Linked DNA regions of Schizosaccharomyces pombe. Changing the gene in region 2 together with the main gene of any one other region gives a genetic interaction. Each region holds a gene or a part of one and is shown on either strand. Other genes may lie near its edges.

Evidence for each region.
Region 1: mutations in vps5 (region 2) and trk1 together harm fitness more than expected from each alone (negative genetic interaction), as found in Schizosaccharomyces pombe (one large-scale study listed by BioGRID).
Region 3: mutations in vps5 (region 2) and oss1 together harm fitness more than expected from each alone (negative genetic interaction), as found in Schizosaccharomyces pombe (one large-scale study listed by BioGRID).

Annotation. Positions count from the first base shown.
Region 1 is NC_003424.3:2,817,464-2,822,818, reverse strand, and holds trk1 (plasma membrane potassium ion transmembrane transporter Trk1), read left to right. Parts: upstream 1-1,747; 5' UTR 1,748-2,037; coding exon 2,038-4,563; 3' UTR 4,564-4,633; coding exon of another isoform or gene 4,634-4,741; 3' UTR 4,742-4,781; downstream 4,782-5,355. Other genes in the region: glycine--tRNA (Gly) ligase Grs1, read right to left, coding at 1-1,333; MCM complex subunit Mcm5, read right to left, coding at 4,634-4,741, 4,782-5,154, 5,196-5,355. UniProt on the Schizosaccharomyces pombe protein: Together with TRK2, defines the major, high-affinity potassium influx transport system. Involved in maintenance of the proper sodium/potassium ratio in the cell and in regulating the plasma membrane potential.
Region 2 is NC_003421.2:700,607-705,350, reverse strand, and holds vps5 (retromer complex subunit Vps5), read right to left. Parts: upstream 2,755-4,744; 5' UTR 2,745-2,754; coding exon 1,014-2,744; 3' UTR 533-1,013; downstream 1-532. Other genes in the region: xks1 (xylulose kinase), read left to right, coding at 1-123, 175-378; TATA-binding protein-associated factor TAF6, read left to right, coding at 3,670-3,801, 3,960-4,744. UniProt on the Schizosaccharomyces pombe protein: Required for efficient sporulation target of PtdIns(3)P in vesicle transport required for onset of the forespore membrane formation. Plays a role in vesicular protein sorting.
Region 3 is NC_003423.3:935,455-939,757, forward strand, and holds oss1 (oxysterol binding protein), read right to left. Parts: upstream 2,728-4,303; 5' UTR 2,638-2,727; coding exon 1,087-2,637; 3' UTR 559-1,086; downstream 1-558. Other genes in the region: tsc13 (enoyl reductase), read right to left, coding at 1-149; int6 (translation initiation factor), read right to left, coding at 3,246-4,303.

The sequences.
Region 1 (5,355 bases), on a different chromosome or scaffold from region 2:
ACGAAATCATAGCTTCCTCAACAGCCTTGGCATCACGTTTGAAACGTGGACCAAATTTTTTGCGATTAACTTCAACCTCGAATTGTTCAACAACAACAGGTTCAGGAAGAGCCTCTTGAACTACTAAAGGAGTCTTGGTAGCTTTACTGTGAACGCTAAGATCATAGGCACTACGATCAGCGCAACCTACACACTCGATCCAGCCGTAAGAGCATTGAATTTCGGCATCCCAGCAATCGCAAGCATAATGAGCCATTTCATTGCTCATATGTTGCCTAAAACGAACACGGTTCATATCAATACCAATTTTCTCCAAGAATAAGCTGATACGGGCCATAAAATAACCTAATGTAGTGTTATCAACAATTCCTTTCTTGACAGCATCACCTATGGGCATTTCCAAAATGTCAGTCTTTCCTTCTAATTGGACACCACGGGGCAACAAACGAAGGGGCATATGAGAAACCTCGTCAAATCTATCATGCTCTTTGTTTTTAGGATCGACAAAGTGTTCGACTTCGGCCATCAAAAACTCACGAACACGAAGCAGGCCACTCCGAGGAGAAATCTCATTACGGAAGGCTTTACCAACCATAGCACTGGCAAAGGGAACTTTGCCGTTATTAAACTCCAATAAACGGCTAAAGTTTAAAAATTGTCCTTGGGCAGTTTCAGGTCGGAGGTAACCTTTCAGACCACCACTGGGACCAATTTGAGTTTCAAACATTAAGTTGAACTGACGAGGGGTTTCAAGCTCACCGTTGGTTGCAGGGTTACGAATGTCATACTTCTTCATGAGCTCACCTAATTGATCTCCATCATAGTTGTCAATTTGGGCAAGAATAAACTCGTATTCCTCAACAGTCTTGTCATCCAGACGAGTCGCACGAATTTCCTTTACCTTCTTCTTACGCTTCTTCTTGTCATCAGATTCTTCAGGCTGGTCATTGGAATTCTGCCCACGAGCTTCCTTGTCACCCTTCAAACGGGCTTCCAAAACCTCTTCAACCAAGTGGTCGGCACGAAAGATTTCACCGGTAGCAGGGTCCTTACACATCCAATCTGCAAACTTATCAACATGCCCACTAGTCTTCAAAACTTCATGAGGAGTAAGCATGGAGCAATCAACCTCCAGCATGCTTTCTTCGATAACAAAGTGCTTTCGCCAAATATCAACCAGATTAGATTGAAGTGCACTACCTGGTGGGCCATAATCATACAATCCACTAATTCCACCATAGATTTGAAAAGAAGGAGAGAAGAAGAATCTCTTCTTCATTAACTCCTCGAACTGAGTTCGATCAAAAGCTGCTGCCTTTGAAACTTCTGTCATTTTTCTACTGAAAATCCGTTTAGCAAAGGCTGTGCAAGAAGAACGAAACGCTTGAAAAGAAATTATGCAAGCAAGGAGCGAAAAGCTTTAAAATGCCTGCTTTTCGCCTGGTTTTCAAATGTTTACGGAAGATAAACTGTTCAAAGCTAGAAATTTTGCTAGTTCGTAAAATTCATAGATAGTGCATTTTGTTAGGCTACATCAATTCATATTATGCGTTGTTATGCGAACTTTTGGACTTTCCTTAATTTAAATACGGTACCTGTAAAAAGTACTTGAACACTCTAAATCTTGTTAACATTTTTTACGGAACAACAACGATTTATGTTAAAGATCGTCAACAATCTCACTTCACTGCCCAAAGCGTACAACATGGTCGAAGTATAGGCTGAAACTTTGAACCGCTTAGAAACTACCTTCTACGGGAAAGAAGACGCGATTTTACGTTGTATTATAAGAGAGGAATCCTCAAGTATTGTTGAAAGGAATCGTCAAAGATTGGGTAAAAATGTCGTTTGTCATTTGTCATAATTCCCTTTTAGAAATTTAGTGGTTTCCTCATCAGTATCGCTTTTACCCGTAGATTTCAAAACTAATTGCTTCTTATCTTGTCCATAGTTAAGGATTTCCGTTAACTTCAAACCAATTTCTCTGTTTCTTGTTCTGTTGTTGGTGGGTTTGGCTGGAAGTATTGACTAAAATAAATGGTCCTAAATTACATTCAAAGATGGTTCAAGTGGGTGATACCAACTTTTGGATTCTTGGCAATTCATTATATTTACATTATATCCTTAACTATCATTGCCTCTATCCTACTTTTTACCGGAGGGACCACCACGAAAATCAAGTATATCGATGCTTTATTCTTAGCTAGCAGCGCAACTACCCAAACAGGCCTTAACAGTGTTGACTTAAATTCTTTATCTATCTGGCAGCAGTTTATCCTGTATGGATTTACTGCTATTACGGTTCCTATATGGATGCACGGAAGTATTTCCTTCATCCGGCTGTATTGGTTTCGACGAAAATTTAAAGACGTTGTTCGTCAAAATCGTACTCGAAAATTTCAGAGAAAGCTCCGTAAAAGCTTAATGAAAAAAAGCGAGGATGACGAAGAACAGGGTGTTCGTGGTAGAAAAATTCGTGTAATGTTACCATACCTACATTCACTAAGGAGTCCAACGTCTCTAAAAAACTTCTCGAGATTTGACACGCATGACAGTACGAACAATCCGTACTTTCCTGACAACCCCCCTTCTCCCAAGGCAGATATATCTAAAGACGAGTATTTTGGAAAGTATCTCCCAAAAAAGTCTGATACGCTAGACATGGATTTGGAAAGTCACAACATGACTTTTCATGACTATGAACCTTCCATTGAAAATAAAAATTACGATTTTGGTAGTTCGCATTCAGCCTCGATGCAAATGTATGAAATGGATGACCTTCATCCCCGACTTCGTAGACAAAGCTCTTTTATTTCCTCCGTTAATCCTTTAGAGGCTGACGACACCCGTGAAACTTTATCTGAAGGCGCCTTAGTTCAGGAATCTCTCCCTATGGCTTATAGTTATTCTGATACTAATTTGGTTGTATCGAGGGATTCATTTACTCTCACTGGGGACGACAATCTTTTCCCAGAAGGTGGTTTAAGGCCTGCCAATACAATAGACGGAATAGTAAGGTCGTCTCTGTCTTCTTCCTCCCTATCTAAAGACACTGAACCATCGACAGTTGACATGCATATTGCTTTCACCGGACTTAATAAGCCCACCATAGAGCGTGAACGTAATCTTAAACTTAGAAAAAAAAGTCGTTTTTATAAAAAATCTTTACGTTCCAGATTTTCGCGAGGACTTCATCGTCCAATACGTTGGACAAAGTCATTCACTTCTAACCGACGAAACTTGACTCTTGAACGAGTCCTTTCTTCTGCCTTTGCTAAAAAACGTGAGCCTTCTATTTCATCAAGACACACTACTATGTCACTTCCCTATTTGTCGTATAATCCTACTGTCGATCGTAATTCTGCTTTCGTTGCTTTGTCTAAAGAACAGCGGGACGAGCTGGGTGGAATTGAATATAGAGCTTTGAAATGCGTCTGCTCCATGGTTACCCTTTATTTTATCATTTTTAATATTGCTGCCTTTGTGACCTTCATTGTTTTTGCTTATACGGCAGTGGGATCGCGAGAGGTAATAGATTCTTATGACTTACGTCGTGGGTGGTGGGCGTTATTCTCGTCTGCTTCTTCATTTAATGATTTGGGGTTTTCTTTAATACCATCGTCTTTTGTGCCAATGAATCGAAACATTTTTCTTTTGTTGATTTCATCTTTATTCATTATCGCAGGTAACACGGGATTCCCTTGTTTTTTTAGAACATTCATTTGGACAACGTATAAGCTATACCCTTTTAGTTTTGAGAAGAAAGAAGCTATGGCATTTCTCCTTGATCATCCTCGACGATGTTTCACTTTATTGTTTCCATCTGGAGCAACCTGGGTCTTGTTTTTTGTTTTGCTGCTGCTTAATGTCATTGATCTGGTATTGTTCATGGTCTTAGATACTGGAAGTAAAGCAGTCGCTAGCCTTCCTAAAGGTATTAGGGTTGTAAATGCAATATTTCAATCAGTTTGTACAAGAACCGCAGGATTCACGAGTGTATCAATTAGTGAACTTCACCCAGCAGTACTGGTCAGTTACATGGTTATGATGTATATTTCTGTTTATCCAGTTGCTATCAACATGAGAAATACCAATGTTTATGAGGAGCGATCTTTGGGTGTTTACAGAACTGAAGATGATGAGGGGAAATCTTTCTTAAAAGATCACCTTACTGAACAATTAAGTTACGATTTATGGTATATTTTTCTAGGGCTATTCATCATATGCATTTGTGAAGGAGGTAAAATCTCCAATCCTCTAGATACCGATTTCAGTATTTTTACTGTCCTTTTTGAAGTAGTCTCTGCTTACGGTACGGTGGGACTTAGTACTGGATTAAGCTCCTCAAATTGTTCACTTTCAGCAAGATTTACTACTATAAGTAAACTAGTTATTATAGCACTTGAACTGCGCGGTAGACATAGAGGTTTACCCAGGGCTGTTGATCGAGCCATCCTTCTTCCTTCTGAAAAAAATAATCTGAAAGAAGAAGAAGATTATCAACGTCGTCACGGATTTTCCATAGACAACGCACGTGGCAGTATTGCAGTTTCTCGAGACTGATATTTCTTATCACGATCATGTATTATATTTGTAAATTATATCATCTAATAAATAGTACGCTCGCTAAATTTCATACTCCTGATCGATACACCGTTTGTCCGCCATTTCTGAGTTGAATTGTTTCCTTCGACGAAAGAATTTGTAAAGCCATTTCTAACGCGTGTTGTGAATATCCATGCTAAAATTATGTTAGACTTAGATTTAATCAATAAACATACCCCATTTACGTATTCTCGTATAAGCATACGGTAACTCGCCTGAAACCCTATAGGTAACCTTTTTCTTAAGCTGGCTTCAATTTTTTTTACTTCCTCAGTAACTTCAGGCGAACTTTGTGTAGCAGCAGCAAGTGTACTGGTCAAAAACAGTCGAATCGCTTCAGTAGCGTGAGCTTCAGAAGCAATAGGTGATAATGACATTTTTGCAAGGGATTCAGTAATTCGTATGATTGCCTCTAATTGACGAACAGTGATTGGAATGGTAGAACGCGAGTTACTGTCCTGCTCTGACTGATGAACACGTTTTCGAATTGCGACAAATTGACTAGATAGCTTTTCAGCTGCCTCTGCATCAAGATTAGGTGCACATTTGCTAAATCCATTAGTAACTAATATTAAATTTGGTATACTTACTGTCTACAATAGTTTATGTACCGCCGAAACTTATCAAAAGGAATTTCTCCAATTGCTAAAGTCTCACTAGATTCTTGTAAATTGGTATGAAGATTAATAACGTGACGGGCAATATTTCGATCCTTTGTTTCATCATGTTCATCCTTAACAATAAATATCA
Region 2 (4,744 bases):
GATCGTGTTTATGTTGTAGGAGGAGCTAGTCGTAACGAGGCTATTGTGTTTAAAATTAGCCAGGTTTTGGGATGTGATGTTTATCGGCTAAAACACGGCGGTAGTAATGCCTGTGCTGTTGGCGTAAGTGAACGGAAAATGTTGTTAATTAATAGTTACTGACCATCAATTTAGGGCGCTATCAAGGCTGCATATGCAATGAATGGAAAAGGATTTACCTTTGAAGAATATGTAAACAAATCTTGGGATGAGTCCAAGAAAATTGAACTAATCATGAATAAACCATCCGCCCAAACTTATGAAGAATATGGAAAGCTTTTACCTTTCCTCAAAAAGGCTGAAGACATTGCGATTCAACAGTCAGATATCCGGCATTGAATTGATTAAATGCTTTTCCATTTCGCACTTGATTATGTGATTAGCTATTGATATAACGAGATTATTAATGAAAGCGAAATCCACTTTTTTTTTTAAAAAATATGAATAAACCTTAGGATACAAAATGATAAACGTTTCCTACATGAACATTTTTTTGAGCTATCGTTTTGAGAGCTTTGAATCACGAGTCTAAATTAAGACAAATAAATATGTAACATAAAGTAGTCATACACCATATTATTAAACAAATTTTTGCATACGCTTTTACATATAAGTAACACAATTTAAGCAGGAAAAAGCGTTTAAACATAAACAAATATAAAAAGGCTTGAGTAACAAAGACAATTTTTAAAAACATACACAAGTTATTTATTTACAAAGGAGTGTAGGGTTGCTGTAAGGTTAGTAGATAGAATGCAATATTTTAAGGTACATTTTCTTTTCAAGTAATGAAGTACCATGGACGAAAAGGGAAATTGCAAAAAAATAATTAGAATAGAATAGAAATCGTCAGCTAGAGAAGTGCAAAGTAATAAAGCGGTAGTTGGAAATACATTAATACGAATATGGGATAGAAATATTACACGAAAGAAAAACATAAAAATTAAAAGAGTGCATAGGGAAAATTAGAGTCGTTATTGATCCAAAAATGATTCCCAACGCTCAATAATTTCTTTTTGAGATTCAATTGCAGATTCCAACCACGTTTCAACACTAGCTTTGAGATCATCAACTCTACTGGTTGTGAGAGAACTCAAATCTCGTTTTAACAGAGTTGTTGATTCCGAAAACTCTTTTTCCAGATCAGCAGCTTTTGCTCGATATTTTTCGTATTGTTCTTCCAAGTAAGGGAGTGATTTTTGCTGAGATTTCGCTTGCTTTTTACATTTCTCAAGTTGAGTTTTAGCACGAGAAACAGCTTGAACTGAAGATTGCCATGTCTGCCACAACTTTTGACGTGTAGTAAAGGCATTTTTGGCACTCTCCACGTACCGAATGTACTCCTCCAATGTAGTGCCCAGTGTCAAATTGTCTTGAGCAACCTTACGTTCTTGTACAAATCGAAGCTCTACCTGGAGTTGGGAAAGACCATCAAACTTGGATGATAAGGTGGGCTCTAAATCAACTAAAGATAAATTTCCAACAGCCTCGCCAAAATCATGGATGGCTGAAGCGAACTGTATGCGTTGATCTATGGATAAAAGAAGCGCGTGATAAACCGACTTTAGTTGAGTTTCCAACGAATCAAGTGTATCCTTTGCTTCAATTAAAATTGGATCCTGTTCGGAAAATTTAGAAGATCCAGAGGTATGGAAGGCGGAGGTGAATGAGTCAAGTAAACCAGATGTTGAGGGACCTGAGCGCAAAGGACTTGATGAACTCTCAATGAGAGTAGTACGATGTGTCATTCTAGGGTCAAATGTCTCTGCTTCAAGAAACAACTTAAATGAGTAATCATCACGTAGAACCGGATGGGCAGATATTTTGCGAAGCATTACCTCCAAGGCTGCTCGTCGCTGTTCAATAAATTCATCATCAAAACGGCCTACAACCTGCTTTTCCGGGATGGGAGGAATGATACAACCCGGATGATTATTAGAAAGCAATTGATAAAGAAAAGCAAAATCATTATATCGTCTTTGTACAGTCACATTGCTAACAGAAGGTTGATTGTGTTCCTCTAAACGAGTGGAAACCGAATATACGGTATGCGATTTAGTGATTTCCTTAACGGTATGAGGGTCATGAACTTGGATGTAAAACGGGGTAAGAGATTGAGGTGCCGCTGCCGGGTGCGCCTTCTGATTCTCCGTATCTGTTAATGAGGTTGAACCTTGCTTCTGGGAGGAGGCAGATGAGACAGTGTGTGTAAAATTTGGAGCAGAAGATGAGGCAGCGTCTAAAGTATCTACCGTCTGTTCTGAATTTGGTATAGTGGGATTTTCCGTTGCTCCGATAGGAGAAGGGGAAAAGGAGTTCACTTCTGAGATCCAAGGCTTATTTGCAGAAAAATCTGCATTCAAAGCGGGACTAGATCCTTTTAACGGATTAATTTTTGTATTTAAACCAACTTCCAAACGGTTGTTTTCGGGTGCCATAGAAGGTGCATCAGAAAATTGCAAGGGACCTAAAGGTGCAGAATCCAAAGTTAACGTTTCAAACGGAAGAGATTTCAAATTGACGCTTCGTTTCCTAGGAGATGTATAGATATGAGTTTTTGGTGGAGAAGCTTGAACATTCGGCGACTCTTCTTCCACTCCTTCAGCTGAGGGCTCTTGGTCGGTTTTTGGAGGGTTCAGTGGAGAAACGGAATCTGCGAATGGATTAAATGCATCGTCTTCTTCATATATATTATGCCCAAGCATGATGGTGGCCGGTTGGGTTTTTGGATCTGATCACTGAAATCGTGCCTGAAATGGTGATGCGCAGCCCAACGACGACTAGCGAAAAATAACGATGGTTAAATACGTTTAGCAATGCGGGGTGACTTGCGGTGCAACTAGATAAGTGTCAACAATTCAAGTTTCTAATTCCTTTTAAGGCTACATTAAATTATATTTAGCTTGTAGAAGCAGTATATTGCGTTATACAGTATTGTGAGTGGTGGGTGATAATATATTTATCATTGTAACAGCTAATAACTGGACTGAGAATGATGCTCTGTTCAATCTAGACTTCTAATTTTAACTACTATTTTATATCAATATCAATGGATGTTTTAGTAAACAAACATATAGTCTTCTGCTATTGTTCAACAAATTGAGATTAATTGGTATTCCATGTAGTGTATTTTGATGCGTAACGTAATGTTTAATAGCGATTTTAGTGTAGCTCACTGTCTTGTAAGCTACGCAGTTTGGTATCTGATTTAAGGATACGTAGAACTGCGGTGAGTTTTCCTTGTGATCTATTATATTACAATACACAGGTTGTATAAGTAGCAACTGAGTATAGGTATTGTATTAACTGGGTTATAATGTTACCTATCACTAATATAGCTCATAACTGAACTGAGGAACGAGGTTCAGCAGTAGCTCTATTTATAGTATTCAGATAATATAGATCTTAATAGATTATCATTAAGATCAATCTCCATATCGTATCATACATGGTACGATATATAATTAGAACATGTGACATATAGTGATACGCAACGTAGTGTATTATAGCGTAGTGTAGTATTGCTGACAAGTATGTTAAATAAAGCAGTTGCTTCTAACATCGTTAACTACTTCTCTGCAGATGCAATTCACTCATTGATCCATAAATCGTTCATCTTACTACCAAGTCATGTCCTTGACAGTATGGAATATTGAATCCATCAAAGATGTTGCTGAAATGCTTGGGATTGGCAATCTTGCCGATGAACCAGCAGCAGCTATTGCAATGGATCTCGAATATAGAATTCATCAGGTGGTTCAGGTAGGTTTCGTGAAAGTAGACTATGAGATTTTACTTTCTTTGGAAGAGGCTAAAATAACTAAAAAATTGTTGCTAGTTTTTTACGATGCCTTTCAATTTGCTAGATAGTCTGCTTTATTCTGACATTAAACATAATTCTCTAACAGTATTTGATTTAGGAAGCCACTAAGTTTATGGTTCATTCTAAAAGAACTGTTTTAACTAGCGCAGATATCTCTTCAGCGTTACGGACGTTGAATGTTGAGCCGTTATACGGCTTCAATAATTCTCGTCCATTAGAATTTCATGAAGCCGCTGTAGGTGCAGGCCAAAATTCCCTTTACTACCTTGATGATGAGGAAGTGGATTTTGAAAAAATCATAAACGCTCCTCTCCCTAAAGTCCCTAGAAACATTTCTTACAGTGCACACTGGCTGGCCATCGAAGGTGTGCAGCCAGCCATTCCTCAAAATCCAACTCCCTCAGATCACACAGTTGGAGAATGGGCATCCAAGGGTACTTCAGGGGTTATGCCAGGTGCTTCAACTGCTGCTAAAGAAGCTCGAAACGGTGTCACTTCGATGGACAACGTTGAGATAAAACCGTTGGTGCGACATGTGCTATCCAAAGAGTTACAGCTTTATTTTGAGCGTATTACCAGTGCATTGCTTGATGAAACTAATGTTGAGCTCCGTGATGCTGCCCTATCGAGTTTACGTGACGACCCCGGATTACACCAACTTTTACCATACTTCATAATGTTTTTATCGGATTCTGTAACTCGAAACTTAGGAAATCTTGTGGTTCTTACTACTTTAATGCACATGGCCTGGGCCCTTCTTGATAACCCCAACCTTTTTGTAGAGCCTTACGTCCAACAACTCATGCCATCCATCCTTACTTGTTTGGTCGCGAAGCGCCTTGGCAGTGATCCTAATAATCACGAGCATTATGCACTAAGAGA
Region 3 (4,303 bases), on a different chromosome or scaffold from region 2:
GCTGTGCTGAAGCGTAAACGCTCAACTGGTAGCCGTGTTACTGAGGACACTTCGTCCCGGAGTTTATCGATTGACCCATCCAGAGGGAATTCCAAACTCTTAGGTAATTTTCGGATTTTTCTGCCCCTTGAAGATAAAGTTATACTCATTTTGAAAACCTACCTTTAACAAGCTGTGTGCTGTTGTTGTTGGGCTTAAGAAGCTCGTGGGAGTTTAATATCCTGACACCAAGTATGAAACAAGTAATGGCAGAGACAGCCTCGATTAGATGATATCGTATTTTGAGAAGATGCGACCTATGGTGACAGGATTTTATTAAGGAAATATGATCGAATCACAAATGTTTTCTTCTTTTCTTCTGCAAATATAGATTCAGATATACTCTTTCAACCAAGAAACTAAAACTCGCCTACCTTTCAACAAATCATAAGTTGTTTGAATACATATGTACAAAAATATAAGAAATTAACATTGTACGTTGAACAATCTTCGAACTATGCGCTTAGCTTGTTGGAAAGTGTTTTTACATTTAAAGCTTAACCTAGTAACTCACGAAGATTTCACAATACGAGGAAATGCTATTATTACCTATAAAACAAGACGAATAATGCAGTATGCTTAGTTAGCTTAAATCGCTAGCAACAACTTTGTTGTGGACCATGAATAAAAATAACTCAATTTAATAGATAAGAAAGTTCAGAACAAGAAATTCTGAAGTAGCAAAAAGAAAGCAAACTTAAAAAATAAGAGAAAATGTAAATGTAATCTTGAATTTCTAAGCAAACGTTCCAAGCTAAGCAAATTAATTGCAAAGACTCATGCCATCATTTTATGAAAACACAAATCAGCATTACCAACGTTACAGAATTGAAAACTCATGAGTTATAATAGCATTTATATCAAAGAGATAGGATAAACAAGAAGTGAATTGCGAAGTGATAAATAGAGGAAGATAAAAAGATACTGACAAAAACAACACTGTGAAAATAAAAGTGAGTCATTGAGTAAGGTAGGGAAAAAGTTCTAAATGCACGCCAATTAAAGAGTTTGTGAAAAGGGTTAAAAATTAACGTTTTATGAAAGACATTAACTTCCGTGAATGTACTCATCTGACAAGGACTGCTCAAGGACCTTCTTACCTTCTTCAGTAAGGGTCGGTCGACCTTCCTTTTCATCTGGAACAAAAAATCTGGGCTTCCATTCGGTATGGCTTTCCTCTCTGGCGGCAGACGCCTGGCGTTGTTGGTCTTCAATCTCTTGTTTTGCTTTCGTAGCTTGAGTATAATGCTTGGCCAAAATATTGTGCGTGACTGGAAACCAAATTTTCCGGGATTCAAACGGAAATTGTTTATCCAAAGGGGGACAACGCTTGTGAACTAAATCCAACTCATTCAAATCAACTAGCATTCTGGATTCAGATTCTCCTGCATAAGAGTAAAATATGCAGTTCCGCCAATTTCCTTTGAAAGTAGCTAAGATGTTTTCTTTGGGAACTGCTTTGATTGAATCAATCGTGTCATTGGATGGGTCATATCGATAACAAACGCCTTCTACCAAGCTTCTCGGTTTTCCAAGCCATCTTTCTTCAATATATGTAATAATTGTCTTAATACGGGTTTTAGGACACAAAATTACAGTACTGTCCAACAAGTTGATATGTAAATTACCACGAAGGATACCGCCAACGGAGGCAGAGGGATGCGTACATAAGTATTCTTCATTATCCCTTTTGTTAAAGCGAACGTATACACCTTTGTTTAGGTCGCCAGCGCAAACCTTAAAAGAAGTTCCAGTAAATCCAACAGCAATTTGATCCTGACCGTATACTTCAATGCCCTTAGAAGGGCAAGTAACATAAAAAGCACTTACAGCAGGATGATGTGAGGTTTGTTCCGCCATAAAGACTATAGAATGTTTTGATTTCTGAGAGGAAGAAAGGTGCTCATTATTTGATTCAGCGGTGCTAGGTGCTGTTGAAGAACGATCATTGCTTGAATCTTGATTCGATTCAGATTTAGAATTTTTTTTGGAAGATTTCTTCTTAGAAGTCTTCGTGGAAGACTTTGTCATGGTAGATGCAACGCTTTGGCTGGACGTTGTACGGGAGGCCTTTGGCCTATATGATTTACCAAGTGGGAATTTGGTGGTTTCGGAATATTCCGTCTTGTATGTAGGTAGTTGAGAAGAATCTGGATCTAATGTATGATCTTCTCTTACTGTAGGATCTGTTACGACCCATTTGCACCGGAAAAATTCACCAAGCACAGAGTTGTAAGGCTTTACCACACGACCACGAACAAAACGAAGGTCCTTTGTAAACCACCAACGCAATACGCCCAACATTCTTTCAAGTTCGTCATCAGAATCGCCCATGACTGCAAAGTAGTCAGGTCGATCAACATAGTTCCAGTACTCCAAGTTTCCAACAGGCTCTAACAATTGTGCAGGTAAACTAAAGCGAAGACTAGCAATATCCTTCACACCAATGCATTGTTTCAATATGGAAAGAACTAGCTTGAATTTTCCTTCTTCTTTCTGATAACCCTCTACTTCTCCATCATCCCTGACTAGTTCCGTAGGGTTTTCAACTTGAATAGGTTCATTTTCTTTTTTTATTGCTTGATTAGGATTTGGCATCTTTAGGTCCTGGTCCTACTACTGACCAAAAATCTATTCTTTTCAAGAGATATCTTTGCGTTGATAAATGTTGGTGGCACGGAAACGGATGCTGTCTCAAGCTTTCGTGGTGTACTGGTTTGATATGAAATTTAAACACCAAACTTACATATTAGTTGTAGCGAGTCTTTCGATTAAATTACGGTAATACCGTTGCAGCATCGTTTATTTATCTATCAATTAGGGAAATTTAATTTAATGCAATTGGATTAGTATTATTACAGCAATTTAATATATACATAAGTTAATTCCACCGACACATTTTCTACATGTTGAGATAGCGGCATTAATACTTTTGCATTAATTATTTATTTTTTATGCACTTCAGAAAATAAAAAAATTTTAGATAATATATATTTTTTTAATATCCCCGCATGTTTCAAATTTCCAAAATTAATATACTAATAGCGATATTCAATGAGCACGTTTCTTTAAATAGGAAAGTACACAGTCATCTTCTACAATAACGAGTTGTTTGAAAATACAAAATTAGCGAATTAATTAAACTCCTATGTTTTATTTTTAATGTATGAAATATATTCCACCTTTAAACTATTTGCTAATCTTGTCTAAACAGTAGCATGCTTTAACTCCGAAATGCTTTTAGCAAGAGATTGCTCCAAGTTTTGACTTTCAAAACTTAATGACTTTGTACGGTCTATAATCTGTTGGAAAGCTGAATAAGTAGGGTGTTCAATTATTATTGATTCACCGTCCAACTTAGCTTTAAACCCAAATTGTACCTCGGGTTCGGGCTCTTCGGCTTCAGTAGCAGTTTCGGCTTCCGTGATTAAATCATCAGCAACAACATTTGTAGAGGTAGATTCAATACTTTCATCTTCAGTACTTTGATCGGCAGCTACATTAGAAGCTGCGGCAACTGAAGGATTATTACGGTTTTCAACAAGTTGTATTAATTGAGCACTGTCCATTTCCAGCTTGTTAGCAAGCACATCAACACTTATGACACTGTGAATACGGCAATATGCCTCAGCAAGTAATTTGCGAGCACCTTCCAAAAAGTGATCGCACAAAGATACGAGAAAAAAGTCGGTTTTCAAAACCTCTTCACATTCTCTGAGGCAATGCTGAGCTTTTTCAAAGTCGACCTCAGTATACAAAGCAGAAATAAAAGAGGTCACAGGATCGCTGTATTCATAGTTTTCTTGGCTAATGATGCGTACGAGATCTCGCATCCTTCTTTGATAAGATTGCCTAGGGTTACGAGGTTTTTGATTTGCATTATTTTGGTTAGTAACAACAGCGACAGTCAAATATCTTAATAGCCAGGGACAAGAGGTTTGGATGGTGTTGAGATAAGGAGTATAGAAGAACAAATCACAAAGAGTATCACAACCATTTGCATGATTAAACAAAGGAAACAAGGACCAGTGGAGGAGCCAAGTTCGATTTCTCAATTGAACAGCAGAATCTTTAAAGCTTTTGGAGTCCACCATTTCGCGAAGTTTTCCCAATTCCTCCATAGCCCCATCCCAATCAACAGTCAAAATTTCAGAAGCAAATTTACCCCAGGTCGCGGAGGCGTTTAATTCAGGGTCTTTACTGAAGGCACGAAAATGATAAAGTAAATCTGATGCACCACCGTAGTTTCCACAATTATATTGAA